Linked DNA regions of Mus musculus: all the other regions are reported to be linked to region 1. The links are microRNA targets in miRTarBase. Many come from high-throughput screens and were not tested one by one. Region 1 holds a microRNA gene; each other region holds the end of a gene's coding sequence.
The links. The annotated mature microRNA mmu-miR-466i-5p reads UGUGUGUGUGUGUGUGUGUG and lies in region 1 at 3,486-3,505, shown strand. An mRNA with a match to its seed (bases 2 to 7 or 8) in the 3' UTR can be bound and repressed. Matches are read on the target gene's strand: a 7mer-m8 pairs with bases 2 to 8, a 7mer-A1 pairs with bases 2 to 7 and ends in A, and an 8mer does both.

Region 1 (5,073 bases):
TATAATGAGCTCTAGACTAACCTTGGCTACAATATAAGACCCCGTATGAAAAAAATAATAGCAGGGCTGAGAAAATGGCTCAATATTTAAAACAACTGCCCTGCAAGTGTAGGGTCTGGAGTTTGACTCCCCAGAACCCACATAAAGTTTAACACATCAGTACACATCTGTAATCCCAGAGTTCCTCTGCAAAGATAGGCAATAGAGACAGGAGAATCCCAGAGGCTCACAGGCAGCTACTCTGGCAAACAATAAGAAAACCTTAGACAAGGCAGAAAGTGAAGATGGAGAGTGGAGGTTGTCCTCTGACCTCCACACATGTACTGTGTGTATAGGCACCTACACTCACACACATAAACATGCATGCACACAGCAATAGTAGTAAAGACACAAGAAAGAATTGCAAAGCACCTGGGAAGGATGGAGGAAGAGGTTTGCTGTTGCTGTACCCAAGAGCACTCTGAATTCTCTGTGGAGCTTGACAATGGAAGAATCAACCAGGAGTTGGTTGCTCGTATTACACACACACACACCAGCATAGAGCCATTAGGGCAGTCCCTAATCTTATATTAAGAAGAAATGTGGACCCAGACATGTGCAGCCCATGTGAAGACTTCAGAAGACAGGTACCTACAAGCCAAAAAGAGAGGCCTCAAAGATTCCTCCTCATAGTCCTCGGGAGACAGCAGCCCTGCCAACACTTGTGCTGTTACTTTGAGCCTTCAAGATTATGAGTAAATACCTAATGTTTAAGCCGTGTGATCTGTGATGCTCTGTCACAGCATGCTAGTAACATGAAATCGCCACTCATTATTTAAAGGGGTCATAGGTGTTGCTGTGAATCAGTGTGATCTGATTCCCCTTTTCAAGTGTGACTCTGGTTGACCCAGACTACAGTCCATGTAACACCCCGCACCCCCCACCCCCCGGGACAGTGGTTTTAATTTCTCATCTTGAGCATCAGGTCTTCCCTGCAGCCATGGAAAGATGAAGGACAGAGGGACAGGAGACTAATGGTAGAGTAGGGATACAGAAGGTAGGTTGTTCTTCCTCCCATTCCCATGCTCCCAGAAATAAGACACAGACTCAAAATATGTTTACAATACCTTGGCCATACAGCTAGGCTCTTCTCTAACTAGGTCAGAACTTAAAATAACCCACCTATGCTCAACTACATTTTGCCACATAGCTGGTTACCTGTGCTCAGGTACCAGGTATCTGTCTTGTCACATCTTCCCCAGTGTATCTCCCACCTGGCACTATCCCAGAATCCTTTCTACCTCACAGATGTCCTACCTCCTATTTCCTGCCAAGTTATAGGTCATCAAATTTATTACTGACAGTTGCCACATGCATACAGACATAAGATATTTTCTCCCCATAGAGATTAATTAGAAGTCAGGATCAGGATTATATTACTCTCCTAGGGTTCCTCCTTCCTCAAGATTTAGTTTCTATATGTGCACAGTTTAAGCAGGCACAGTCAACTGACTATGAAAGCAGAGACAACAGGAGAGAAGACGAGTCCAGGGCTGGAGACTGGATACCACTGACTTCTGCTTCTACACGTGGAGCAGATATATACAGTATCCTTGAGGCAGAAGGAGACAGACACTCTCATCCAGGGATATAGCTGACAGAGAAGAGACATCCACCCCCATACACACATCTCATCCCATCGTCTCTAACATCTGCATACTTGCACTTCACAGCTCACAAGTCTAACCTTCCCAGGTAACTGGCCCATTTGGGTCTGGTGTACCTTCAATCTCTCTTTTTTTATTTTCTTAAAAGAAACATTTGAGAGCTGAGCATCTAAGATGGCTTTGGATTCACACCCACTGTCTGTGGAACAGCTTGAGGCTGACAAGATTAGCTCGCTGGAACGCTCTGGGATCCGTTCAGCCTAAGCTGCTGCCCACACACCAGCCTTGCTCACAGAAGCTGCTTTCCGCAAGCAGCAGCCCGCTTCACCTCCTCCATCCTGGCTCGTGGAACTGGTCCTTGATGTCCTACCTGGTCTTGAGGACAGTGGCTTCCAGCCTCAACCAGTCCTCATTCCCAGATTCCAGGATGTGACCATGGTGATGTCTCAGCCTCTCCAGAGGAGTCCGAAGGGTGATACTTCTGTCCTTCCTCCTCCCATGTCTAATCACCTGATTTTACAGAACCCAGCATAGCGAGCAGTGCTGCAAGCTTCCTTCCCCTCCCTCGGCTCTCTTCTTCTGTCCCTTCTTTCTGTAATATCCAAGGGGACCAGACAGAGTGGGCCTTGATAACACACATTCCCTTGGCTCCAGAGCAGTAGCTTCTAAAACCTGTAAATAAGACAGCTCTATGCCCCTGTGTAGACATACACCCCAAGGATAGGCTGGCTCCCTGGTACCTGTCCAGAGTTGAGAGTTCAAAAGACAGACCAGTGGATAGAAATGCTATCATGCCCACCCACCCCCACCCCGCCAAGCAAGGCCTGCTGGCTCATGTACCTGGCCAGACATTACATGAGCAACGGGCAGTAATTGTTGTCTAATCTCTTCCCAGAGGTTTCAACTAGTTCCAAACTGTTGTGGCTAATAAAAACAGAGAAGATTTGCAAGAAATTCCAGGTGCATCGGAACACTTTGGGGGATTGTGCAGCCTGCAGGCAGACGAAACTTAACTCAAATAAACATAAGGTAATATGTGTTGGCAAAAGTAACCTGAAGTGGGAGTATACAACTGTACGTTTCAAATTGGCTGCTGCCTGTAAGGATGGAGATTGGTAGTAGCTCAGAATGGATGAAGTGGGCAGAGTAGCCAATGTGCATCCCAGAATAACCGAGGCAAATCAGATCTCATCTCACACAGACCCCATCAGTGGCCCAAGATGGAGCACATGACAGATTCCGCAGTCCCACTTTCTACTTTAAGGATGAGGAGACATCGTGGAGTGGCCTCCAGATTTAGGGGTCTCCTGTGAGCCAGGAATGTGTGGTCATGTTCTCAATGGAGCGAGTAAAAGAAAGTGTCTGTTTTTGTTCATTGAAGTCATTGACTCCAAGCCCTGGAAGCTGCCATGTTACCTCCATCTGCTGCCTAACTCTCAGGGCCACATTTAGATAAAGAGCCGAACTTCTGAACTGCAACAGCCCTGGACTTCAGTCAATTCCCTACTTTCTTACAGAAAAGAAAATATTGAAAAGCTGTATTATGGTGTCTTATATGAATGTGCTAGTTTCCAGGATGGGAGGGGCTGTATATTCACCTATATTCACACACATATACATGTGTGCATGTGATATACATTCATGTACACCCTCCTATAGAAATAAGTGTATGTGTGTGTGTGCATGCATATGTGTATATGTGTATGTATGTGTGTGCATATACACATGGGTGTGCATGTGCATGAGTGCATGTACGTGTATATGCATGTTCTCTATTGATATGTGTGTGTGTGTGTGTGTGTGTGTGTGTGTGTGTGCAGGTGTGTATATACATATATATGTGTGTGTGTGTGTGTGTGTGTACATGTACATGTGAGTATGTGTGTGTATATGTTTGTACATGTGCATGTGTGTGAGTATGTGAATATATGTGTATATGTGTGCATGTGCATGTGTGTGTATGGTGAGTAGGTGTTACTAATTGTGACTCCGATGGCTGTGTCTCCATCTGGCCTAGGTGACAGGTAAGCAACTGCACTGATCTTTCACAGGTAGCAGCAGCCTTATAGGGCAGGAGAAGACTGGCACCTCTGCACTGGCCGTGACCTTACCTGCAAGCCCCCGAGGAACAGGAGCTTTTTTACTCCTCCATCTTCTGGCTTCCCAAGCAGGTGCTGATATCTTGACAGGGAAGGGGAAATGCTCTGTCCTGGCCCTCTTGCCTCACAGAACTAAAAGCTAAACATGGCTTCAACTACCTCAGCGGCTTTCTTCTCCCACAACCACATGCAGTAGAGAGGCCCAGCGCTGCAGAATACATCTGTGATAGGAGAGGAGAGCTTGGATCTGGAATGTTCTAGAAAGTGATGGAATAATTTGAAATCCAAACTGTCTAAAGGCTGAAGAAGAAAGGAAGCCATTGCCACCTGCAGGAAGCAGCCAGGTCCTTTTGACCTCTCAAAGTTCTTGGCTGTGAGGTTCCATCATTCAGCTGATAAAACAGAGGAACAAATGTTACACAGGGAAGTTCACAGGAAAAGGGTCAGTACAGAGTGTGCAGAGCTTCTGGTGGTATAAAAGCCAGTCACTGAAAACTAGGGACATGTCCTCAGTCCTTGAGACCTGAAGTCATCTCTTCTCTTCTAAGCATCCATTATACCCAGGATTCCACAGCCCTAGGCCTTCTGGAAACAAACTTCATTTCCCCAAAAATTGTCTGCTACCCTAATGCCACCGGAACAAGTTTTTTAGCTCTTGGGTTATAGCTCAATGATGAAACACTTGCCCAGCATATACAAGACCCCAGATTCCACCTCCAACAACAACACAAAGCACGCCAGTACATCTCAGCCTGTGCAGAGGCTCAAATTTCGAAGGAAATAGGAAATAGATTCATTCATTCATTTAGTGACTCTTTCTCTTCTGCTGTGTATGAGACGCTGTGTTAGGCAACACCAGAAATAAGGTAAAGATTTAGCAGGTGACCACAAACGAGAAAGTGCAGTGCGTTCTCCACTTTAATCAGAGCAAGCCAGCAAATAAAATGTTCTAGGCAGTTTGTCTTGGCACCAGCCACAGGAATTTACCTGTGACATCCTAATAAAGAGGACACTGAGACATGACATCCACAAGGACTTGATTGGCTCTCCTGGAGCTGATTGTGCACACCAACCCCCAGGAAATAAGGCCAGGAGGTCTGTGGTGAAGCCTGAGTGTCCACGGTCCAACTGGGTCCTGGGTAACGTGGAAGCTGTTGTGAGTCTTGTCCTCAGAGACATGTATATAGAAAGACTCTAGTTCACCTCACTCTACTGAGCTGCATCTTAGGAAGGGCAATTAAATCCTAGCTATCACCCTGCAGCTGACAGGGCACACACACACTGCCAGCTCTCAACTAACTGGTCACACCCAGGGTATTTTCAGGCTA
Region 2 (5,073 bases), not on the chromosome of region 1:
TCTAATTTTTATGTCCTGTGAGTGAGCCTCTGCTTTTTTTTTTTAATGTTGCTATAAAATGCTCTTACCAGCCATTTGCTTCCTCAGGGAACATTTAGCTTCATCTTGGTTTCTATATAGCTGTCTTGGTGTGTTGAGAGATCTAGTCAGAAGTCCCTGGGCAGGTTAACAGTGGCCATGTTCATGGGCTCCAATTGAGACTGGAGGAGGGAGGTGGTAATGGTCTGGTTGTAAAGCTCTCATTACTGATCTTCCTCTTTGTCCTGATGCTACTAGAAGCTTCCATCTGTCAAGCACTTATTTGTATCCCTCTTAATGTTGTGTTCTTTACTATATATCATTTAATCATTACGGCAGCCTTTCGGATTGATACCCCTACATTCTTTTTATAGTTTGGAAAAAAAAAATCTCAGGATACCTATCTTTATCATTTCTCAATATAAATATATTTCTTAATTTATTTTAATTAGTCTTTGAGTTTCTGTTTGGTGCATTGTATCCTGTTTATTGCTTTCGTATTATGGGGTCCAGACTTCCCTTCCTTACAGTAAGGCTTCCCGGAGTTCCATAGGTTAAGAACTCTGTTATATGGAGCTGAGGACATTGCTCTCAACTCATCCCTGAGGGTAGACTTCAAATGGGATCTCATTAGCCAAGTTTTCGCTGCATCTGTTTTAGTATTTAAAATACTTTTGGTTTTATGTTTAAGCCATTAGCTTAACTTTGCACAATTTTTTTCTTACCCACAACATTCCAATAATTACAATCTGAATGAAGGTACAAATGCATAATAGAGATATCTACCTCATTATGGAATAGGTGGCGATTCTTGGGAAGTTTCTAGACTGGGATTTGTATGTGACTTCATTTTAGCTGGACTAGGAATTAAGTAGGAACAGCATTGGCTGTTTCAGAGTCTCTTAAATCGGTCTCTTAGTTTATGTTTTACCCTCCGTCTTTGCTGTGGGGAAGGTAGACTTCTGCCAAACTCGTGAAGATTTTGCTGGCATTATAAAAATTAGTATGTTCAAAAATGAGGACTAAGAACCAAGTTTTGGCACCTTTGACTAACAATACAGAATAACAAATATTTTTGTAAACCATGATTGCAAAACAATGATTGAAATCAAATACTTTTAGGTAATGGTCTGTATGGTGGGTGGCTCTGTCCTTGACCTTCACCCTCCTCCTAACTTGGATGTGATCGAACTGGAAAAGCTGTTGTACCCTGCGTGGGTTCCTGTCCATTCCAGGCTTTCTGTTTTGGTGGGAGGCTTGTTAAGGTTCTATTTTAAGCCAGCTTTGTCTTGTTTTATATCCCCATCGGCTGTCTTTGAAGGGTTTCATATTTCCCCTTGGCCTAGTAGTTCATTATTTTTGTTTGTTAATACTATCATTAGAAGGACAGAGGAGAACCACACACCAGCAGACCATTTTCATTTCTGGAAATCGGAGCAATAAAAAGACTTTTTTTATATTGTAAAATGGAATTATTGCTCATGCTATAAGGGCTTCCAGTTTTTCAAATATGAACCAGGCCATTGCTTCCATGGCATGAAAACTTGAGTTGAAAATGTTCTGAGTCATAGGCTGTTTAACCATGCCTGCATGTCAGACAAGCTTGAAGATGTGTCTATTCCTGAGCCTCTCCTTAAAGCAGGACAATTACTACCAGACCCCTGACTCCCACCCCCACCCCCAGGCTGCTAGTCCGTTTACTGTAACCAAACACTTGAGATCGTTTATACAGAGAACGGGTTGTTCTGGCTCACAGCTGTAGATGGTCAACTCAGTAGTCAAGTGTCCCTCTGCTCTGAGCCCGCAGTGAAGTGTACGTTGCAGCAGGCATGTGACGCAGAGTGGATGCTTAGCTCATGACCAGGATGCAAGAAAGGATGGAGTTGGGAGTCTCACTCATCCTCCAATGATGTGAAGACCTTCTAGGAAGCTTGGCCACGAGGGTCCCACCATTCCCAACGATGCCACCATGAGGACCAAGCCTTTAACAGATGGCCCTTGGAGGACATTCTCAATCTGAGCTACCGCACAGTTTGAAGGGGGTCCTGGTGAGTCCAGCCTGATTTCGGCTCTGCCCCTTTACTCAAGCCCGCCTCTGCCAGCAGGGATCCCGGGCCCTCCAACCGGTCAGGTTTCTGTTCAAGTTCTCCTTCCACGCTGTCCCACACTGTCCGTTTAGTTGAAGCTGGAGTATACACTACATCTCCTCCAGGATTTCTACCTTTAGCACGGTCTCTGCAGTGGCTACGGCTCCTTCCACTGTGACCCATGACCTTAAGGACAAAGGCTTTGGGACCGCCCTGCTTCCGGTGGCTGAGGCGGCTCTTTTTACATGCTTTACGTTAAGAATTTTGTCAGCCAGGCGGTGGAAAAACGAATTTTTGTGGAATTCTTAAATTTCATGGAATAGTTCTTAATATTCTGATAGATGTGGAGCTCTAGAAAATGTGCAGCGTCTTATGTGGCTCTGTGTGGCATATGCCCACATAGAACCCCCCATTCACCCCAAGACCAGGAGGGCTGCAGGTAAACTGCTATTCTAAACTCCTGATTATCAGAGCTGGTCTTTGCAACCAACTTCACTTCAGGCAGTCTCACTGACCCTGCCGCAGGAAACCAGATCTCAGTGCAGGTTAAAGACGCAAACCTGAGCCAGTGAGACAGCTCAGCGGTACAAAGCAATCGCCACACAAAGACAGAAGGAGAGAACCAACTCGCAGGAGTTGTCCCCTTTTCTCTGCATGCACGTGCATGTACAATGCATATCCCCTGTCATGTACATGCACACACAATAATAAGTAAATTCTTAGAAAAATTAAATGATGTCATAAGAGTTAATGGCCTAATCAATCCCAAACAAAAATCCTGGGTTAGCTGACTGAAAATACATGTTTTAATTACCTTTATTTATAAATTAAAAACAATTGACAGAATTGTGGACAGACTGTTGAAAACATTAAAAGAAATTATTTAATCCTTTAAGTGTGCAATGGATTTTTCTGAAATAGACATTTGGGGCATAAATCAATAATTGTATTAGGGTGTATTTAGGGTGTGTGTGTGTGTGTGTGTGTGTGTGTATGTATGTGTATATATATATATATATATATATATATACCATAAAGCAGTTAAACAGCTAAATATTGGATCTGTTCCGAACATGCTTAACTGTAGTACAAACAAACAAACAAACAAAAACCTGCAGCAAAATATCTGAGACTTGAGCTGACTCCAGTTGCCATGTGCTTGGGGTGACTATAAACCGGTTCCGAGTGGTCTCTGGCTGGACCCTCCAGCCCTGTGCTGATTGCTTCTAACTGAAGAGTGCGGATTTGGAGTTGGGAAGCAGAGGGTGTGCAAGCTGCCCTGGTCCCCTTCTTGGAAGGCTCCTGTCTAGCGGAGTTTCTACCCTGCTGACACAGGCCCAACAGGTTAAATGAGGCACGGTAGGTGCGGTAGCGATTCGGAGGGAATGGGAACAAGCTGGCAGAACTTCAACCCAGCCCAGTCCTGTTCAGAGGCCTTGTGATCGCTTAGGTCTAGGATGAGTCTTGTTCTGAGGTTGAGGGAACCTCTTTTGTGCAATAACACAAGCCCAGCAGGGCCTGGGACTTGAGGAGTGAAACACATGTGCGTTTGTTTTTGCTAAGACTAGCTAAGAACAGTATCCTTTAGGATACACCGAGACTCACAGAATAATTATTAGAGTTAAAAAAAAAAACCTGATCATCTTGTTCAGAAACTGCAAATGTGCAACCTCAGGTCAGACATGTTAAGCCTCCATATATTTTTTAAAACTTGAAATTGTCAACATTTAATTTTAATAATATACACTCCAGGGCTGGAGAGATGGCTTAGCTGTTAAAAGTGCCTGCTGCTCTTCCAGAGGACCCGTGTTTGGTTACTAGCACCCGTATCAGGCATATTAAAATCACCTTTAAGTCCAGCTCCAGGGACCCAGCACCTTCCCTGGCCTCCATGGGCACCCGTACACACATGGCATATATTAACACAAACACACATATGCATAAAAGAATATTCACTTCACAAACCTAGCTAGTTAGCTGCTTATCAAAACCAGAAAATATGACAATTTTAGACCTTGGTAACAAACTAACATGCAGTCACCAGCCAACTGGTCGAGTAGCTCCACAGGGGCACGTGTTCCTGAATCTGTCACTGTCACCAGAAGCCTGACTAGTGGGCAGGACATAGAAACCAAGATCTAAGAAGTCAGCCCGCCTCTTATGAAGCAGCAAATGGCAGATCCTTGTTTATGTAGCAGAGTTTTAAAGGAAACCTCTGGTATAAGCACACCTTAGTAATGTTCGTGGTCCAGTGCCCATCTCAGAACAGTTCTGAATGACTTGACCAATTTGGAAACCATGTGGCATGTCAATACCACCGTCTTAGAAAAGGCTAAGTTCTTGTGTTTGGTGATGAGTTTCCAAGGCAGTTCCAGTCCTAGGAAATGATCCTCTGAGAATTATTTAGGGACTCTTCGGAGTTCATTCATGAGCCAAAGGGCACCACTGAGCAGAGCCAAGGAGCCTGACTGGTGTGTGGCAGCCAGCGGAGTGGGGACGTACATAAGCAGAGTGCTAATGCCCAGGGCCACCTGTGGTAGAAGAAAGAAGAAAAGAAGTCATCTTGAAAGTGACTGCACACACCGCCACGGTGTCTCTCAGACATTACAAATGCATGTACCCCATGTCAGAAGCAAGCATCCATAAAATAAAGAAATCCAGGACGCAGTCAGTCATGGTGCAAGCAATCCTATTGCCTCAGTCTCCAGAGTGCTGGGATCATGAGCATGGGCTACCACACCCAGCTCCTGCTTCCTGTCCCCACAGGTCATCACTGCTACCATCCTATATGCCTCACTTTTCATGTCTGTGGTCATGGAGAGACACAGTTTTCTGTTTTTGTTGTTTGTTTAAGGCAAAGTCTCACTGTGTAACCCTGGCTGGCCTAGAACTCACTATATAGACCAGGCTAGTCTTAAACTCACCTGCCTCTCCCTCCCAAGTGCTGGGATACAGAGGTAAATATAGT
Region 3 (5,073 bases), not on the chromosome of region 1:
CATTGTCCCCCCTGCCTCAAGCCACGCCCCTTCCGAGGACTTGCTATCCCAGGCCACCAAACTTCTACAGGCTGCGGAAGGTGAGGGGGATTCCTGGGCCCTTGGGTATCTTGATGGTGGACCCAAACCCTGTATCTGCCTTCTGGAGCTCAGTCTTTTATTCCCCAGACTCGGACGGCAGCGAGTTTCAGGAAGATCCTGTGTTGCAGCTGCTAAGGGCTCAGAGGGCAGAGCTCCGGCAGCAGAAAAGGTGACTCTTCATCACCAGGAGTCACAATACTGGACCCCTGAGTCCTGTGACATCCCTATTTGGTGCCTGTCTCTTCCAAGTCCCTTTCCTGAACCCCTCACCCGCTGTTGCAGGTTCTTATTGTGAGCGCATGCTTCAGCCTCTACCTCTCCCCACTTTTCTCCAGGAAGGTGGATGCCCAGTTATCTCTCCTCTTGGACCACACTAAAGACCCGGGATCTTCGTCTCCTCTAGCCAGGTCACCTTCCAGGTCCTCAAGAATGCGGTTGAGGAGGGAAGGAACCTCCCTTGAGTCCAGACGACTTTGAATTAGAAAAATTCTGGTTTTTCCTGGGCTGAGGAGATAGCTCAGTGGGCAAAGAACTTGCAAGTGTGGAGGCTCGAGTTTGGATCTCCTGAACCTGCATAGAGGTAGCGGACAGGCCAGCTGGCCCATGGAGATGGACGGGGCTCAATCCAGGTAGAAGGCAAAGACGAATCTCTGAAATTCTCTGACTTCCACACACGAGCTGTGGGGCACATACACACTACACCACACACAACACCACACACACACACACACACACACACACACACACACACACACAGAGTAAAAATAAAGTTGTCCCCAATTAACATTTTTCCAGTTTACTGTTCATCTCTAAGAAATGGATTGTTGAGCCGGGCATGGTGGCGCACGCCTTTAATCCCAGCACTCGAGAAGCAGAGGCAGGCGGATTTCTGAGTTCGAGGTCAGCCTGGTCTACAAAGTGAGTTCCAGGACAGCCAGGGCTATACAGAGAAACCCTGTCTCGAAAAACCAAAAAAAAAAAAAAAAAAAGAAATGGATTGTTGTAGAAAGGCTAATTGTGCTAATAAGGAAATGTGTCTCTCTCCCTCTCTCTCTGTGGGTGAGCACATGGCTCTAGATAATGTGGGCATCTGACTACCTGACTCATGGAACTCAGAAGTGGATTTTTATATCTCGGATGGAGACAAAGGCCCTGTTATCTGGTCCTAAGAAACATCAGTGTTGGACAATAGTACATCTCCATCCGTGCTAGCATCTTTCCCTCCCTGGTCGCCATCTCCATCCACGGGCCTAAGAGATGCCTCAATTCCCACAGGTGCTCAAATTCCTGGTGTTTCCCCACGTTTGTTCCCCCTCTTTCACATTCTTCAACTGTGTTCTCTCTACTCAGGACCAACATCTTCTGTCATCCTGACTCTTCTCTTTCCCACACACAGTCACCTGCTAGATGCTGACTCTGTCTATCAGAACCCAACTCCTTCCCACTGCCCTCAGCTCAGTCTAGGCTACCTCCTATCTATACAGCTGAAAGCTTGTCATTACTATAAACACATCTGCTCACTCTTTGATGCACTTGCCACCCAGGGGGACATCCTATTGCTTCTCTTTGAAACTGAGCCTTTCAACAAATTAAATGCAACTGAAGGCCTGCAGCTTCTGTCAGGAAAGTGGGTTCTGTTCTGTTCTTTTTCTTCTACTTTCTGTGACTCGGATGCTTTTCAGAGTCTGCTATAAAATCTGATTACTAGACACAGTGGCACACACCTGTAATCCTAGGAGTCTGAGAACAGAGGATCTCGACTCTGAGGTCACTCTCACAGAGAGTCCCTGTGTCGGGAAAAAAAAAAGTCATTATATTAGGGATGGGACACACAAGCATGCATCTACTGAGCTCAGTGAGATTTGTTTCGTTCTCTGTGGTGGTTTAGTTACTTTTAAATTGCTGTTATAAGACAGTGTGACCAAGGGAATGTAAAAAGGAAGTGTTTATTTGAGGCTTAAGAGTTTCAGAGAGTCAATGACCGTCAGGGCAGGGCACATGGCACTGGAGTGGCACCGAGAGCTCACATCTTGAGACTCAACCAGGAGGCAGAGACAGAGACACTGGGAATGGGAGTCTTGTGAAACCTCAAAGCTAACTGCAGTGACACACCTCCTCCAACAAGGCCAAACAGTGGTCTCCCAACTAGAGACCAAGTATCCAAACGTCTGAGCCTATGAAGGCCATCCTCATCAAAATCCCTGCGGTGGTTTCCCTCAAGGGAAAAAGTGAATTCTAGCTAAGGAGATACATGTGAGCAAGGCATGGTCACACACACCTTTAATCTCTGTGACCTGGTCTATGTAGAGAAATCCAGGCCAGCCAAGGATGCATAGTGAAACTCTGTCTCAGAAAAAAAAATATAGAAATATAGAAATATAGAAATATTAGGTACAGTGCCGGGCATGGTGGTGCATGCCTTTAATCCCAGCACTCGGGAGGCAGAGGCAGGCGGATATCTGAGTTCGAGACCAGCCTGGTCTACAAAGTGAATTCCGGGATAGCCAGGGCTATACAGAGAAACCCTGTCTCGAATCCCCCCCCCCAAAAAAAAGAAATATTAGGTACAAATTTTGACTTTTACAAAAGGAAATGAGAAGCTGGGTGGTAGTGGCACACGCCTTTAATCCCAGCACTTGGGAGGCAGAGACAGGCGGATTTCTGAGTTCAAGGCCAGCCTAGTCTACAGAGTGAGTTCCAGGACAGCCAGGGCTACACAGAGAAACCCTGTCTCGAAAAACCATTAAAAAAAAAAAAGGAAGTGAGGAAAATTCCAGGATAGTATGGATGCAATGGTTTGTCTTTTGAAATAGGATCATTTAAGATCTAGGCTCCAACTCACTATGTAACCTAAGCCTGGCTTTGGACTGAGTCTCCTACCTTCACATCCTCAAGTGCTGGGATTACAGATGTGGGCCACCACACCCACCCAGCCTAATCTGTTTTGAAACATTCCCAAAGATGAGTTGGATGGGTGAGTAAAGCAATAAGTAGATGTAAGACAAAATGAATATAGTAAAATGTTTTAATGATAAGAGCTAGCTGGTGGATGTGTGGGTGTCAACTTTCCCTATCTTAGAACTTTTCATAAATAAAATGATGGCAACTATATATGATGAGGGTTAGGTTGAGGGTTTTTGTGTGTGTGTGTGTGTGTGTTTGGTTTGGTTTTTTAAGACAGGGTTTCTGGGATTCTTTAATCTGAGATCAATGTTGTTTTGATATATGTATGGGATTTATGAAGGGAAATGGGATAGATTTCTGACATGCAATTCTCTATGTCAGAAACAAGATAAATGTGGGTTTTCATCCTTTTGAACAAACCACACACTTGATTGAATCAATAAGGAGGTAGCTGTTTAGACACAAGGAACAATAGAAGATATTCACAATAACATCCTGATCAAGTTAAGAGGGGGCACTAGAAGGCTGCCCGAGGAAGTCACACTTAAGCTGAGATTACCTACTTGACCGAGGCCATCTTAACTGTGGCTGGGTAACAAACCACCCCCAAAACTTAGTAGCATCATCACTCATTACACTTATTCCCTCCCCCCACCCAGCACTTTCCATATTTCGCCATCCCAACTAGCTTTTCTCTCGGATGATACATATTTATATTTATTTTGTTCATTATCTTCCCCCATCAGCCTTTGATTTGGAGGTTTTAAATTTTTTTATTTAATGCATACAGGTATTTTGCCTGTGTATATGTTGGGGGTTCCATGTGTGCCTAGTGCCCACAGAGAGCATCTTCTGGACATCTTGGAGCTGTAGCTGGTGAACAGTCATGTGGGTGCTTGGAACAGGGAGTAGAAATCTGAGGACTCTGGAAGAGTAGTCAGTGCTAACTGCTGAGCCATCTCTCCAGTCCCTAATTTGGTTTGTTTGAGACAGATTTTCACTATGCAGCTCAAGCTGGCCTCAAATTCATGATTCTCCTGCACCCACTTTTCCAGTGCTGAGATTACAAACCGAAATCACCTAGTTCATACTAGCCTTTGAGCTTCCATATGGGTAAGGCTGTATTTTTTTTTTTTTTGATTATTGGTATATCCCCGAATTAAATAATCAAAGTCTTTAAAAGCCTGGACCGGGAGCGTGCTACCGAAACGAGAGGCCTGCTCAGGTCCAGATCAGTGAAAGCATCCTTCCGGAAAGGGTGTGGCTGCAATGCTTTCTAGGCACTTCTCTATCGTTTAAAAAAAGAAAAAAGACTGCACCTGGCTTTCTGAGAGGCATGAATGTCATAGCATTCCATACAGAAGCTTTTCCTAGAAAAAGATGTCAAAGGCTAGCCTCAAATAAGCGAATATAGGGAAACAAGGAAAGATGTCCAGTGAATAGGGGGAGGCCAAGTCGCACAGAGCCTAGGGTGGGGACACAGCGGGGTGTGCGAGATCAAAAAGCTTGTGGGCGGGGTCAGGATCAGGACTGACAGCGTGGGGACTGGAGGACCCGCATTTCGAAAAGGCTGCTTGTGGGGGATAGTCGTAGGCGAACCCAATGAAGCACGTCCGAGGAGCGACCGCGGGAGGAAAGGGCAGGCTGCTTAAGGAGAGAAGTGGCGGCAGCGGAGCATAAAGAATACAGGGTTTTATCTCAGGAGGGCCCTGACAGCCAATGCCAACCATCCATGGGCGTGGCGCTGTCAAACTTCGGGGGGTGGGACTGGAGAGACGGGGCGGGGATGGGGGCGGGAAGTAGAGCAGCACTCAAAGCCAATAAGCAGCCGCCTTGTGGGCGGGGCGTAGCCCTCAGGCCAAAACTGGAGCCAATGAGAAGGGCCTCCGCGTGCCCGCTGGCCCGCCCCTCATGGGGCGCGCGCCAGAGACCCCCCCGGCAGCCGTTAGGGGAGGAGCCTGCGACCGCCCGCGCGCGCCTCACGCCCTCCCCTTTGTGTCACCATGGCGGCGGAGGCGGCGGTGGCGAGGACTGCGAACGAGGGCTCGAAAGCCGCCGGGGTCTGAGGAGGCTACCGCGACCATGGTG
Region 4 (5,073 bases), not on the chromosome of region 1:
GAACTAATTCACTTAACTTCAGTTCTACCTATGCTTCTGTGATATCTTAGGAGATTCAGTATAGGCATCAAGGGAGACCTGCTCACCCTCTGCCCCAACAGCTGTTCTCAGTGTAGACTTGAGCTCCTCAGGAAAGGAGCCATTGCTGCCCCCTTTATCACACAGAGCCAAATCACCATTGTGAACTATCACATCCAAGGGCCCTATGGATGGGCTAGGGATGCTCAAGGACCTTACCTGATACGTACTACCCAAAGCCTGCTGTGCTGGCTCTCTCCAGACCCTTGATGACTGTTCTCCCTCTTTCTCCCAGGACCAGGATCTGGCCCAGGCATCGGTACGGGAGCTTGAGCTCAAAAGGAACTCTTATGTAGAAATCGTGAACTGTACGGAGACTTCAAAGTCTGGCTTCCTTCAAAACTACTATACACACACACACACACACACACACACACACACACACACACACACACACACATATATATATTTTAGCTTTGACAAACACAAAAGTGGTAATAAAGAGAGCCCTCCTCAACCCAAAATGTGAGCCACCTGTGGCATCCCTTCCTCTTTAACAAACCAACAGACAAAAATCTCTTGAGTCCTTTGCCTCTTTAATAATGTGTTGTTCTGTTTTGTAATGTGTGCTTGGGTTTCTGAGGTGTGTGGGATTGAGTTCTCTGCTTTTTTTCTAAAATATTATATGTAAATGTAAAAAGTTATTTAAATATATATTTTAAAGAACCCTAACTACCAACTTCTGTTGAAAAAAAAAATCACTGCTGCATTAAATGAACCACATCATGTGTCAATACTGTTGTCTCCCTGGAGGGACCTCAGGCCTTTGAAAAGCTCAGGGTTACACCTGCCTTATTGAAAATGAACCAGAAACTTGAAGTAAAAAGCTCCAAGGAACAATACAAAGCTGCCTCATCCTTTTTCCCTTTTTTGAGGCAAATCTGAACTTCTGGGCTTCTGGGAAGCCACACCTCTCCTGCCCACACCTGTAGGCAGCAATGGAACAGGAGGGAAGTGGGGGCAGTGTCAAGCTATTACTGCCTAGGCCAACTTTATTGGAGACAGTTCTGCCCATTCTCTTCTGTTCCTTTGGTAGGTCTTTATCCCAGCAGAGGCTGTGGCTGTGACCAGCCCTGTTACTAGGGTCTCTCCTGCACTCTGACCACCAGTCAAGGGAAGAGACGCTCTCACCCTGTGGCCTTGGAGTCTTTTGTAAAATCATTTTGGGCTTCATGCCATCAATTGCAGGGGTAATTTAAATGGGGTGTGCAGGGTGGACACCCAGGAGGAATGTTGATTTATGGCCTTGGTGTCCTGTGGGACTAGAGGAACAAGCTCTCCTCTCAGTAGCAGTGCACCGCTCCTTGAAAGGCATGCTGAGGCACACTTGTGCCCATGGGTCTAGGGCAGCCACACCCCTCAGCTGTTGCCCCCTTAGGTTGCCTTCTTGGGGGACATATGCTTGAACCACAAGAGTGTACTAAGCTCCAATTGGACCAGTCCCCCATCCCCAGAAACAGGCCTCTGCCTGGTGGCTGCAGCGGTTCACCTTGCCAGCAGATGTCTGCTAGCCTGTCTGCCTGATGCACTATTATGTACTGATTCTCCACGAGACAGACTATCAGATAGTTCAGACCCAAAGGGTAGGCTTTTGTATATTTTTTCCAGCCTCTTTTTTTTTAAGGGGAAGAGTTTTTTAAACCCAAACCACTTTTGGTTGTTTTTGTTATTGTTTTTAAGATGTTTTGTTTATTTTTAAAAGGGAGAGAGAATTATTTAAAATCACTTCAGGGATTGTAATCCTTTTTATTCAAAATAGTCCTTGTTCTTAAAAGTATTTTCTTTTCCTTAGAGGAAACTAATCGGCTTGGCCCTGTGTTTGCTAACTCTTCTGGTCACTTTTAGTCATTCATTTAGCAGATGTCTTTTTCCATCAGGAAGAGTTTGGCCGAGTGGGTCTGAAAACTCGGTTACAGAATGGGGACCACCTGGGTTGCCAGAGACAGAAATGACCCTTCTTCCCAGTCAGGCTCCCAGGAAGTCATCCCAGGGTCCAGATTGCACATTTGAGATGATCAGAATACTTTGTTCTTTAAAACCTCGTCCTAGGATGAGGGCATTTGCTTATTTCTATCCAGAATCTAACAAAAGAAGTCCCACGTCAGATGGCCCAGTTATTTGCCCTTTAGGAAGTGGCCATAGTGAAATTTGTTCTTCTGCCGGACTCTGGAGGTCGGTCCCTTGAGGCTATGCCCAGTGCACCTGTTGCTGAGGGTGTGAGAAGGGCCTAAACTGTTGACATGTAATCGGGGCTGCCTTTCTTTCTGGGGCCAGGAGTAGCAGCTGCTAAGAACAGCAGCTTTCCTTACTGTGCAAGGGGGGGGGTGGAGGCACAGCTTTTAACATGAACTGCAAAGCACAGCTTCTCATTGTTGAGATGTTTGTTGTTTCTGGTTTTCCTTTTTTTTTTTTTTTTTTTTTTTTTTTTTTGTGTGTGTGTGTCTGTATGTGCATATTTCTCCATTGGCTGAAACAAACCCCAGAAAGATTTTGCCTTTGTCCTGCCTGGCTAGAAAACCATTTCTCAGTACTCATAGATGAGTAGAGAATTTGAATGCCACTAGGCAGAGTTAAAAAAACAAGTTCAACTCTCCTTTGAAAAAATGCTACTAGTGGGTGACAGGCACTTGTAATTGTTGTAGTTTTGGACTAGTAGAAACAAAAGATTTAGAGACAATTATCATCTTTGTGTTGCCACATCAGACCAGAATAAAACCTATCTTATGCACCATTTAAATCAGAAGAAATAGTGTCTATGAAGTTCTGAGAGCCACAGTGCTCTCTTCTGTGCCCTCTTCTGGGGAGGGGAAGTGGAAAGGGAGTGTCAGTAGTGTGTGGTGATTGTATAGCCATGGACAAGGAGCACCCCACTGTCCACTGGGAGCCTGTGTGTGGAATAGCAAGTGTGGGCTTGATACCAGCCCTGGGTGTAAGACAGCCATGCCAACCCAAAATCTAGAACCAGATGAAAATGGAAGTTAAGTCATTGTGTACCTTGAGGTGCCTCTGTGGTCGTAGCTCCAGAAGCTGACCATCCATCCCCTCTCCCCCAGGCCCAGACCGCTGTATCCGTGTCCCTCTTTAGTCCCGTGGTTCAGGCCTTTCCCTATGTGCTTCTGCTCTCAAAGTCCACACAGGACTGATGCTTTTAAAATGTGGTCTGTAAAAGAATTTGAAAGTATCATCTTTTAAACTGACCTGCATTTTTCTATTCCTTACATAAACTTTTTGTATCGTGTTGGTCTAATGACACTATTTTAATTTTTTTTTTATTTCTCCCATAGCACTTAATATTTTGTAAAGATTTTTTTGTGATAAAATGGTCTAAGGGCTCTTTTTCCACATTACCATTTTAAAAACTTTTAAAAGCTAGAAAACAACTTATGTATATTCTGTATATGTATAGCAGCACATTTCATTTATGGAAATATGTTCTCAGAATATTTATTTACTAATATATTTATCTTAAGCCATGTCTTATGTTGAGAGTGTGACATTGTTGAAATAATCATTGAAAATGACTAACAAGGCCCTGTAAATACATGATAATTGCACACAGATTTTACATATTTGCAGACCAAAAATGATTTAAAGCAAGTTGTAGTCGTCTATGATTTTGTAACAAATTGTACAAATGACTGTAAAAAAAAATACAATTTTATCAAGTATGTGTCACATGTGGTCATTGCTGTGGCTCCTAACGTCTAGAGCCTGGGCCAGTGCTCTGATTTCCATCGTATCCAGAGATGCCTGTGACCTTCTGCTCCTATTAACAGATTCCAAGTCATCAGAGTATTGGCTGGAACCTGTGGGTTATATCCTTGAGTAACAGTGTGTGGCAGGACCCTGAAGCAGGAAGATCACATCTTTCAGACCATTCTGGACTACAGAGTGCATCCAAAGCTAGCCCGTGCAATGTAATGAAACCCTGTCTCAAAAAAGTAAAAGATGTGCTGGAGCCTGGGCACCTGCCAGCAGTCAAGGCTGTAGGTTCGATCCCCCCACACCTCCCTTCCCCTGCCCTGTGCCATCCACAGAAAACCAGTTGGGCATGGTGGCTTTGCTTAGGAGGCAAAAGCAGGTGGATCCCTGGGTTCAAGTTCAATTTAGTCTACATGGTGAGTTCTAGGACAGCCAGCTCTGTGTAGAGAGCCTGTCTCCTGACCCCCACTCTACCCCCATTTTTAAAAAAAGGACTGAAACTTTGTCTCTTTTCCCTGGAAGGGTAGCCACTAGTTTGTAAAACGTTCTGAGATTAGGTGAAAAGTGCAGCTTATTTTTCAGACATACTGCAGAGGAGAGTCCAACCCTATGAGTTCCTATTGTTTCTTATCCTAGCTTGGGCCACTTCTCGGGTGACAGCAGCCGTACTCCCTCCCAGCTTCCCACCCCTCCATGCACTCCTGGTGGCAGCTTCCAGAGGAAAGCTTCCCAGAGCCTTTGTTTAATGGCTTTGCCTAGCTGTACCTCTTGGCGCTTCCAGAAGGATCTCAGAGCATGGGCTCTGCCACAGTGTGGTACAGAGCCCGGTAACCCTCGGTGAGGATGCCATGGATGTTTGGCATGATCTCCAGCTGCTGTTCCTCTTGGGTTTCAGGAAGCAGTGTCCAGCCCTTGCAGGCTATGAGCCCACTGTCCCTGGACAACACTTGGGTAGTGGCTGCATGTTTGGCATATCTGTCCTTAAGATCTTGGCTGACTTGTTAACTTTTTCTCCTTTGAACTTTCTTTACTCGGGCCAAGAAGAAAGCAGAGATGTCAAAGTTAAAACTTGAGAAGGGAACTCAGTATAATTAGCAGGGATTTGCGTCTGAGTCTTCACTATAACAACAAGCACCATTTGCCGAGTATAGTCTCCTTACTGAGTACCTTTACATATGTCACTGAGTATTGGTCTGCTCAAGGCCACAAAGCTTAGGGACTTCATAGCTACAGCTGACATCTATTGCATACTAAGTGCGCTCCTTCTTATTCTCTGCCATCCCATTCAAAAGG
Region 5 (5,073 bases), not on the chromosome of region 1:
ACCAGGGTTATAGTGAAGCCTGTCTCAGAAAACAACAACAACAACAACAAAACCAAAACTCATACCTTAAGAAACTTTGTTGCGCTCCCCGAGCCCTCATTAAATTTTCTGATTTTAGGTCAAAGAACAAAAAGAAGGATGGAGAAGAGCAGAGGCTGATTGAGGATGACTTCCATAACCTACGACTGAGGCAGACCGGCTTCTCCAACTTAGGAGCGGACAACAGCATCTTCCCCAAAGTCAGAACAGGGGTCCCGAGTCAGACCCCTAATCCCTACGCAAACCAGCGAAGCATGCCTCGCCCTGACTACTAGGTGAGTGCGGCCTCTGGCTTGGCAGGATGTAATGCCCAGGTAGAGAGCGGAGGCATGGCTGGAGAGGTGGCTCAGCGGTTAAGAGCACGTGTCACTCTTACCGAGGACCTGAGGGTTGGTTGCCAGCACTCACATGATGATACAGGTGCCAGGCAAGCACACGGCATGCATACATAAATGCAAGCAAAACACTCATACACATAAAAGAAGCAAACAAATCTTTTAAAAAATATTAGCAAACAAGGAGGTCCCAGCTACAGCCTCAGTCACCACTTGGTCCCTAGCTAGGACTAATGGCCGTCTACATGACATCAGCCCTGTCTCTGAATGTCTCGGGGCTTCCATTTCCTCTTTTATTTTTTATTTTTTTAGCTCAGTCTTAGCATCCTTGAGTGCCTCTAACTTACCCACTTTCTGGCTACTGAGGTCACTCAGCTGGGAAAGGTGCTTGCCTTTTGAGTCTGATGAGCTGAGCTCAGTCCCAGGACCCACATGCAGGAGGGAGAGAACAGGCTCCCACAAACTGTTCTCGGGCTTCCACGTGCACAGTGTGGCATGTGTATTCTCCCTCCCAGGTATATAAATGTAATAGATAGACAAATAATTATCCACTTCTAACCAGGACCAATCGTGAGAGCTACTCAAGATACAAGAAGGTAGCAAGTTCAGGGCCCTCCTGAGCTACAGAAGGAATTCACAGCCAGCCGGGAGGACTCAGTGAAATGCTGTCTCAAAAGGAAAGAAAATGATTTGATGGTGGGGGGAGATAATAGATGAGGAGAACAATTAAGAACAAAATACACTTTACATTACTAAAATAGTAATTAAGGGAGGTATATTATGAATAAAGAGAGGCGCAGTAACACTGTGAGGCCCTACAGTTTATAATACCAAAAATAAAACAAAAATAAAATTAAACTAAATATCCACTTTCGTGACTCTGACCTACATGCTTGGGATGGCAGCACCAGTGTGTAAATAAAGAACTGGGGTCTAAGTCAGGTGTGGAAATGACAGTGAGGGCAGCGTGGAGCTGTGGGAACCTGTATGTCAAATGCACAAAAGCACAAACACAGCTCTCCTCTTCCCCGACATCTCAAGGCAACAGTTTATTTCTAAATTTATGCCAGGGCTGGAGAGATGGCTCAGCAGTTAAAAGTACCAGCTGCTCTTCCAGAGGACTGGGTTTGATCCCCAGCATCCACATGGCAGCTCACAACCATCTATAAATCCAGCCTCATGGGATCCACTGCCCTTTTCTGACCTTCACAGGCAACAGGCACACACATAGTACACAGACATATATGCAGGCAAAACACCCATACACATATAATAAATTTATATATATATACACACACACATATATGTATGTATATATATATATAGTACACATTTGTATATATACACACATATACATTATATGTGTATATGTGTCTACCCATTATATGTGTGTGTAGATAGATAGATAGATAGATAGATAGATAGATAGATAGATAGATAGATGATAGTGCCTTAGACCAGTCCTACAAAGCAGTCTATTTCAATCTTTCAAAAGAGAAAAGCAAGTTTGACTGGAAACATTTTGTTTCCCAGGGGAGGATTTGGGGCCGGTGAGAAGTGTCTCTAAGGGACAACTGACAAAGGGCTGAGGTACAGAAAAGGAAGAGGAGAAAGGAGCCAGGGACGAGGTGGGAAGGGAAGAGAAAACAGAGACAATTTGTTCAAAAGAAAAAAAAATGTAAAGGGAACTGAAAAGATGGCTCAGTCAGTGAAGATCCTGTTGAGCAAGCAAGGGGACCTGAGTTCAGATCTCAGCACTCCATAAACGCTTGGCCTTCACACATATATTGCATACAAGCACGTACACATACACATACATGAACACATACACACATACACCACATACACACACACCAATGAAAGAATCAAATATAAAAGAGGAAGAAAGGGGTCTTGAGATATAGCTTTAGAAATTTGAATATTGGGCTGGTGAGATGGCTCAGTGGGTAAGAGCACCCGACTGCTCTTCCGAAGGTCTGAAGTTCAAATCCCAGCAACCACATGGTGGCTCACAACCATCTGTAACAAGATCTGACGCCCTCTTCTGGAGTGTCTGAAGATAGCTACAGTGTACTTACATATAATAAATAAATAAATCTTAAAAAAAAAGAAATTTGAATATTGAAAAGAACAAAAAACAAAACAAGAGAACAGGCTGGACATAATGGCATATGCCTTTAATACTAGCACTCAGGAAACAGAGACAGGTAGATCTCTATGTAAGCTTCGGGCTAGTCTGGGCTACATGTGACTTCCAGGCTAGCCCGACTGAAGCTACATATTGAGAAGCTGGCACATAAAAACAAAGCAAAACACAAAAGATTGGAAATACCAACAGAAGCAAAACCCAGGCAGCATCTGGGGAGGCTGAAGCAAGAGGACCACACATCTGAAGCCTGGTGTCTTAGTTCCTCTGTGGTAAGACACCATGACCAAGACTACTACCTGTAGAAGAAAGAGTTTAGTGAGACTTACATTGTCGGGGGTAAGTGCATGGCCATCATGGTGGGGAGAATGGCAGCAGTCAGGCAAGCTGGACACTGGAGCAGTAGCTGAGAGCTCACATCCTTATCTGAAAGTTGGAGGCAGAGGGAGTTAACTGGGAATGGTGTGGGCTTTTGAAACCCCAAAGCCGCCTCCAGTGACATGCCTCCTCCATCAGAGCCACACCCCCAATCCTTCCCAAACAGTCCCACCAAAGAGGACCAATTATTCAATCATGTAAATCTATGGGAGCCATCTTCATTCAAAACACAGCATCAGGTTAGGCTATAAAGATCCTGTCTCAAACCAGACAGACAGACAGACACCCCAAAGACACAAGGGAGCATAGGGAAAAAGCTGAAGACAAAAGATATATTAAAATAATTGACAAATATCAGTTTTCTCCTGTTGCTGTCTAGAAATCTTTTCTAAGCCTTGCCTCTCTCTCTCCTCCTGTATAGAATGATAAGAATTTGGAACCCTCCCTAGCCCAGCCCACCCAAGCTACGGTCTTAAGGACAAGGAGAAATGGGCAGAGACAAAGTTTGACCTCCAGCATTCCTCTGCGTGGTTTGCCAACCCCTCTGGGTGTGGACCTGTGTGAAGACCGAAGCTTGCCGAAGACACACCTATCAAATTAAATGCGCATAGACCCTATGAGCCTTTGTAAGAGTTGATTTTCTCCAGTTAGTACAGAATGCTATGGCAATTGGTGTGGGGCTTTTCTTTCCTGGTGGGTCAACTCTTAGCGTTTCCAATCTTAGAGGGAGCACCCTCATAACTCATCCCTGAGCAGTGCCACTCCTGAGCTCTGGACTCTGGCCACTCTTGAACAGCTAGCTGCTTGTGATAGGGCCTCACCCCAAGAGGACAGGCAAGAGATGGAAGCATGTCCCAGCTTTCTCAGGAGGACTTTGGGGACCCAGGCAAATGACAATAAGAAGGCTTGGACTGGCTCTGTCCTCTGTGGGGACATTCAAGTCTTTGAGATGTTAGTTGGTAGGAAAGCAGGGAGGAGAAACAGGAGCATAGGAGGTAGAGAGAGGCCAAGGAAGCTATGCCGGAAGGCTGAGGGAGGGAGAAGGTAGCAGGTGGCGTCTTCTCCCTTGATGATGTCCCTCCTCAGGCAGCAAATGGGTACTCTCCGGTGCTGCCATCCCCAAGACATAGATCCTGGGAAAGCCACAAAAGCAGCAGTCAGTGTGAAGCCCCTGTGACAGCACAGGCCTTCTATCTGGAACTCTGACAGAGGAGCCTGGTGTCCACTCAATGATGCTTCACTGAACCTCTGCTCCATGATGGAGGCTTAGCAGTGGCCACACACACACACACACACACACACACACACACACACACACACGATAAATATAAATACATCCATCATCTGTCTTTTTAAATGTTAATTGTGCCCTCGTGTCTGTCTGACGTCTGGTCCTCTCGAAAGGTATTTTTGTTATTATTTGTTCTTAATTGTTCATTGTGGAAGGCAATGCTTTAATAAAATATATTTGGTGGATAGTGTCCTTTCTTGTGTTGGGAGGCTCGCAGTAGTGAGTCTCACATATCCCAGGCTGGCTTCGAACATTTTACACAGCAGGAGATGACCTGAAATTTCTGTTCTTCCTACCTCTGCCTCACCAGAGCTGTCTCTGCATCGCTAGTGTGGGGTTTACAGGTGTGTGCCACCATGCCTGGTGTATGTGGTTGGTAGGGATGATACTGGGTATATCAGGGCTTCATGCATGCCAGGCAAGCACCCTCGAAAACAAGCCAGTCCTAGTTCCTAGCACAAGTCTCATTTCATGTTTAAAGATTTTTTCTTTTAATTTTAAAGTAGGTGTAGATGTTTTATTTTTTTTTTTATTTTATATGTGCAGATGTAGTTGGCTTTGAGGGTCAGAGGCATCAGACCCCCGAGAGCTGGAGTCAAGGCAGATGTGAGCTGCCTGATTCTGATTCGGATGCTGAGAGCTCAGGTGCTCAGTACATATTGCCTACTGCCGAACTGCAGGAGCAGTAAGTACTCTTCACTGCTGAGCCATCTCCCTGGCTCCCCCTTGAGTCTCATTTTAAACAGAAAATGTGACTTGACACCCTGGAGTGACCTGCCCGACATTTGCTACCTTCACCAGGGATTTTCCATCACCCAAGACAACATTTTAACATGTCGTAGACCATGTTGGCTTCTATCCCTCAAACACAACTCCATGACAAG
Region 6 (5,073 bases), not on the chromosome of region 1:
GGACTGAGCCTATCGGCAGGCCCTACCGAAGAGAAGCCTCCCGCATCCTTCCCCGCACCCGGAGACTGTTAAGAGTTGATGGCCGTGACCTTCAGGTTGTAAATGCTGGGCCAGCACCCAGAGGCTCACCCTTATTCTCCCGCTTCAGGTGCTCGATCTCCTCGTGGAGTTTGACTAGCGTCTCCGAGTGCTGCTGCTGTAGGAACTGCAGGCTCTTTTCCAGGTCCAGGATCCGCTTCTGTGCTTCGCTGAACCCGAGCGGAGGCGGCTGCGTCCCCGCGTGCTGCAGGCCGGCGGGAGGGCGCGGGCGTAGGCGGGCCGCGCCCCGGGAGCCTGGGGCCGCGGAGCTGAGGGGCCGAGCCCCGGCCGCCAGCCCGGCCCCGCTCATGAAGGCGTCGCCGCCGCTCAGTACTGGCTGCTGGAGCCTGGCACTCGGTCGCCTTGGGAACCGGCGCGCCGGAGAGGGCGGGGCGCGCCGCGGGGCGGGGCCTGCGGCCGCGTTCCGCAAAAACCAAGGCGCCAGACTCTTGAACTGGTCCGGAACAGTAGTTCTTATGAGTGCTGTGTGCGGTGCGTGTGCCTGTGGAGACCAGCACTCGACGTCCGGTCTCATTCCCCACCTCATAGATTTTGAGAAGAGGTCTGTCTCGTCTTGTGACTAGCTGGGCTGGCCCGTGAACCCCAGGATCTTCCCATTTCCCCGGCTTCCAGCGCTTAAGATCCCGGGTGTGCGCCTTCCCTCCCCACTTCTCATGTGGGTGCTAGGGACCCGAATTTAGACCCGAATTTCTCCTGCTTGGGCAGAAACCACTATACCTTCTGAGCCATCACCCTAGCCCCGCTTGTACTTTTGAACCAGGGTCTCACTCTGTAGTGCAAACTAGCTTGGAATTCATTGTGTAAAACCGGGATTATAGATGTATGCCAAAGCACTGGCTTTTTTGTTTTTGTTTTTCGAGACAGGGTTTCTCTGTATAGCCCTGGCTGTCCTGGAACTCACTTTGTAGACCAGGTTGGCCTCGAACTCAGAAATCCGCCTGCCTCTGCCTCCCCAGTGCTGGGATTAAAGGCGTGCGCCACCACCGCCCGTCGCACTGGCTTTTAAAGTGGGTCTTAGTCTTTCATTTTAATAGCTCACATTTTTGGATACATAGTAATAGTTTCACAAATCTTCCAACACTCACTGAATCTTTGTGTATAAATAGAGCTGTCTGAACCAACACAAGAGAACCGGCCAGCCCACTTCTTTAATTCCAGCAAATGGGAGACAGAGGCAGGTGGATCTTCCAGAGTTCCGAAGTCTGCCATAGTGAGTTCCCGGAACAGTCAGAGCTACACAGTGAGAACCTGTCTTCAAGAAAACAAAAGTCCAGTGCTTGCCTTTACCTAGAGAACCCAGCCAGCAGGATCAAAAACAAGAAAGTCCTGGCTTTCTAGACTTTAGTTTTTTTTTTTTTTTCATTTATGCGTACCCGTATGAGTATATTCTGTGGGTGTGCATGTGTGAGCATTGAGCCCCGGAGCTGGAATTACAGGCAGCCTTGGGTGTCTGCTGGAAACCAAACTCAGGTTTTCTGGAAGAGCAGGAAGCTCTCTTTCTTAACTGCTGGCTCATCTCTTATCCACGTGAAAACTAGGCCACTTACTTTTTATGACATGGTAGATTTGTTTGTTTGAGACATAGTTTAGCTACATAGGCCAGGCTGACTTCAAACTCAGAGATCTGCCTCTGCCTCCTTTCTGAATCCTAAGATTAATGCCTGGTTTGGAAACTTAATTTCTAAGAGAAGGCTATGCAAAAGTCACCTCCCAATGGGTCAGTGTTTGACACTTGTCTACCATGTCCATGTCCCAGAGGTCCATCCTTTGCACAGCAAAAAGCCCGATCTACATAGAGTTCCAGGTCAGCAGAGCTACATAGTGAAATCCTGTCTTCAAAACAAACACACACAAATAATAAAAAGATCATTTCAAACTGATCCTTGAAGCTCATACCTATAATCCTAGCCTAGGATACAAAGTTTCATTACAGACTACACAGTGAGATCTTATCCTAAAAATAAACCAAAACAGGGAGATGGCTTAGTTGAGCATCCTATTTTATTTTTTGTTGCTGCGATAAACACCGTGATCAAAAGAAAAGCAAAGTGGGCATCAGAGGGTTTATTTTAGCTTATAGGTTAGAGTCTATCATGGACAGATGCCATGAAGGAACTCAAGGCAAGGCAGAAGCCTGAAGCAGAAACCAAGAGACTGCTTGGGGCTTTCTCCCCAGCTTACTTTCAGCTACCTTTCTTATACAGCCCAGACCTACCTGCCTAGGGATGGTACCACCCGAAGATAGCTACATCAATCAAGAAAAGGTCCCTTTCCCAGGTGAATCAAGTTGACAACTGAACGCTGACAACTGGTGACACCTGCTTTGAGGCCTAACCTAGTTCCATTCCTCAAACCTCTGACCTATGTCCATACATGGCACGCATGCATGCACTGCATCCCCCACACTCCAATAAGTCAGTCTAAAACATTAAACTCTGGGGGCACTTGAAGGAGTAAGACATGACCTGTGTGTGTGTGTGTGTGTAACTGTCAAGAGAAAAAAAATTTAAAAAAATATTCATCTCATAAATAAATACAGGCTAGGTAAAGAGTTGGCACAAGCCTTTGATTCCAACACTTGGTAAGTGTACGTGTATCTCTGAGTTCAAGGCCAGCCTGGGCTACACAAGAGTAACTATCTCTATCCCCCACACAAAAGATAAATATTGATAGGGTTGTTGGTAAGGGCTAGTCATTCAGCTCTGACCAGGGGAATTGGAAACAGTGGGACACTCAAAAGGCAACTTCCCTTCCCACCACAAGGAGGTTGTACTCCTGGGAAGATGCTGGCCTGGAGCTGGCTAGTATAGGTCAGCCCCATCTGCCCATGACTCTAAGATTCTGGAGGCTGAAGAGATGGCTCAGTAGTTGATTAAGAGCACTACAGAAGCCTGGAGTTTGGTCTCCAGCACCCACCCACTCCCTCTTCTTGGCCTCCTTAAATGCATACATATGATGAACAGACACAAGCAACATTCACTCACATAAAATAAAAATGACACTGTTTAACAAAAAGGAAGTTTCTGGAAGCCAATGTGGTATTTGTTCTGGATGACAGCCAGTTCTGAGGTGTTAAGCAGGGAAATCAGTTCTCAGGGCACCACAGGGCCTGCCCCCACCTCAGGGTTAGTCTGCCTTGTCTTGTTTCTGCAGAAGTTGAATCCAACATGCCCTAGGCATGAAAGGGGACTTTCAGTCAGAAAGAACTCCATCACGAGGTAAGGAGGTACCGTGTCCAGGAGCTTGCTCCACAGTTCCCAAATGCCCAGGGACCCTTGGCAGGTAAACAGGCTAAAGATTCAGCCCAGACAATCTCCGAAGCAAGAATGGTTTATTCGGATCCTTGTTCAGTTATGTTTTGAGCTGACTTTTGGTCATGGGTCCCATGATGTATTCTGAAGTTACATCGAAATACAAAGCCCAGTGATAACTTTGAAAAAAAACAGGTTGGTATTTTTTTTTCTTTAAAAACAGCTACACACCCACAACAAAAGGGCTGGTTTAAGAACACCTTGGAGATGGTGGTGTTCACCTGCAGGGTGAACTTGAGCCCTTTGGTGTCTTAGCTTTGATGTGAAGGTGTTTTTTTCATACAGGTGTTGTTACAAATGTGACGCTCCCTTAAATTCCTTAGTTTTACAGGCAAAACCAATGCTTTTTTGCTTTGTGTCCACAGAGGCTGGCCAGACCAAGCTCCAACCCCAAGCTCTGTCTCTTAGAACCCTGCTTCTCCCCTGGAGTGGATATTGAGCTGCTTGTGTGCCCTTGGACTGAAGGTGAGGAGCCATGGCCAGCACTGATTGTCTTACACAATGGCTTATGAACCTTCTGACACTGACCCTTCTGTGTCAGGCCTGCCTGGATCACTCTCCCTTCCAACTCTTTGTTCTTTTGAATAACTCCACCACTGCAGGGAAACTACTCCCAAGAACACTGAAGATGACCTGCCCCTCTATTCCTGGCTTCTAAGCAACCTGCCACAGTCTGCTCAGGAGAGGATGGCCAGCAGCTCAGAGCTGGTGCAGCTTCCCCCGTTCAGTGAGCAGTGTCATAGCTATGGCATAGAGGACGTATCCTAGGACCAGGAGCAAGGAGCAGGACAGGGGCCCAATGCAGAACAGAGAAGCCACAAAGAAGGCCATCAGGAGCAGGAGCAGTGTCCGGTAACTGCCCAGGAAACGGAGGCTGAGCCTGGGGCCCCGTGCAGGATTGGTGACCTGCCTCCGCCCTACAGGGCTCAGCAGATGTCTGTTGCTCAAGGCAGGCTCAGTGAGGTGGTAGCGACAGAAGCTGCCAAGGAAGTCATTCCGGGAGCACAGAGCTGCCATCTGGCCTGCAAACTAGAGAACAAACAAGGACTCAGCAGTTGGAGACACAGAGCACCCTCCCTTCCAGGATGCCTCTGGGACCAAGTGATTCTCACGCAGGGCCGTGAAGGGCAGGATGCTACCTAGGGCAGGAGCACTCTCTGGAAGCTATGTCTAGGGCATCCCAGCTGTCCCTGCTGCTCACTTACTCTACGGTTGATGGCAGAGGACAGCCGGAAGAGTGCACGGACCAGACTGGTGATTTCGTAGCTCCGGATGGGCTGCAGCTCTAAGTCTCCCTGGTACTCAATCTCGAACCTTCGCAGACCATTAATGATCTAGAAACCCGTTCATTTGTGTATGAATTTTTAATATAAGTGCAAGATGTAAAGCATTAATGCAAGCAAAATGTTTCCGTGAACACATTTCAACAGTTCAACTTTATAACAATTATAAATAAACCTGTTAAAATTTTCTGGACAATGCCAGCATTTGGATTTTTTTTTAAATAGGTAAATTTCTTATTGACGGCAAAAAAAAACAAAATAAAATAAAATAAAAAAATCTAGAAACCCAAGCAGTGGAAATAATTCTAAAAAGAATGTATCTTTGCAGATGACTTGAGAAACGACAGCTCATGCGACCATCATATGCCCCTTGCGACAAA

Region 2: miRTarBase lists Cox15 as a target of mmu-miR-466i-5p. Seed matches in the 3' UTR shown: 7mer-A1 at 3,092-3,098, 8mer at 3,090-3,097, 8mer at 3,088-3,095, 8mer at 3,086-3,093, 8mer at 3,084-3,091, 8mer at 3,082-3,089 and 6 more.
Region 3: the mRNA of Proser3 is a reported target of mmu-miR-466i-5p. Seed matches in the 3' UTR shown: 7mer-m8 at 750-756, 8mer at 784-791, 8mer at 796-803, 8mer at 798-805, 8mer at 800-807, 8mer at 802-809 and 14 more.
Region 4: miRTarBase lists Znrf3 as a target of mmu-miR-466i-5p. Seed matches in the 3' UTR shown: 7mer-A1 at 428-434, 8mer at 429-436, 8mer at 431-438, 8mer at 433-440, 8mer at 435-442, 8mer at 437-444 and 17 more.
Region 5: the mRNA of Muc13 is a reported target of mmu-miR-466i-5p. Seed matches in the 3' UTR shown: 8mer at 4,176-4,183, 8mer at 4,178-4,185, 8mer at 4,180-4,187, 8mer at 4,182-4,189, 8mer at 4,184-4,191, 8mer at 4,186-4,193 and 13 more.
Region 6: miRTarBase lists Smpd4 as a target of mmu-miR-466i-5p. Seed matches in the 3' UTR shown: 7mer-A1 at 2,578-2,584, 8mer at 2,576-2,583, 8mer at 2,574-2,581, 8mer at 2,572-2,579, 8mer at 2,570-2,577, 8mer at 2,568-2,575 and 1 more.

What each region holds. Positions count from the first base shown.
Region 1 is chr3:85,463,897-85,468,969 of GRCm38, forward strand. It overlaps Mir466k (microRNA 466k), which reads left to right and starts at 3,481; the gene lies at 3,481-3,602. All of the region lies in intron 1 of Gm31419 (a long non-coding RNA gene), which reads right to left.
Region 2 is chr19:43,732,217-43,737,289 of GRCm38, forward strand. Cox15 (cytochrome c oxidase assembly protein 15) reads right to left here. Exons shown (of 9, transcript NM_144874.4): 9 at 1,038-4,636. The coding sequence ends at 4,505. Entpd7 (ectonucleoside triphosphate diphosphohydrolase 7) reads left to right here. Exons shown (of 13, transcript NM_053103.5): 13 at 1-1,637. Among named protein-coding and RNA genes, the nearest start is that of Cox15, 18 kb to the right of the region's middle.
Region 3 is chr7:30,534,926-30,539,998 of GRCm38, reverse strand. Proser3 (proline and serine rich 3) reads left to right here. Exons shown (of 12, transcript NM_001382459.1): 10 at 1-80; 11 at 169-250; 12 at 417-865. The coding sequence ends at 558. Arhgap33 (Rho GTPase activating protein 33) reads left to right here and starts at 4,939. Exons shown (of 22, transcript NM_178252.3): 1 at 4,939-5,073.
Region 4 is chr11:5,275,002-5,280,074 of GRCm38, reverse strand. Znrf3 (zinc and ring finger 3) reads left to right here. Exons shown (of 9, transcript NM_001080924.2): 9 at 314-3,746. The coding sequence ends at 351. It also overlaps the pseudogene Gm30172. Among named protein-coding and RNA genes, the nearest start is that of Kremen1, 16 kb to the right of the region's middle.
Region 5 is chr16:33,815,556-33,820,628 of GRCm38, forward strand. Muc13 (mucin 13, epithelial transmembrane) reads left to right here. Exons shown (of 12, transcript NM_001382834.1): 11 at 119-314; 12 at 3,320-4,374. The coding sequence ends at 314. Among named protein-coding and RNA genes, the nearest start is that of Itgb5, 12 kb to the right of the region's middle.
Region 6 is chr16:17,641,840-17,646,912 of GRCm38, reverse strand. It overlaps Smpd4 (sphingomyelin phosphodiesterase 4), which reads right to left. Exons shown (of 19, transcript NM_001164610.1): 18 at 4,616-4,744; 19 at 2,083-4,439. The coding sequence ends at 4,110. Ccdc74a (coiled-coil domain containing 74A) reads right to left here and starts at 443. Exons shown (of 8, transcript NM_001166164.1): 1 at 130-443. The coding sequence starts at 388.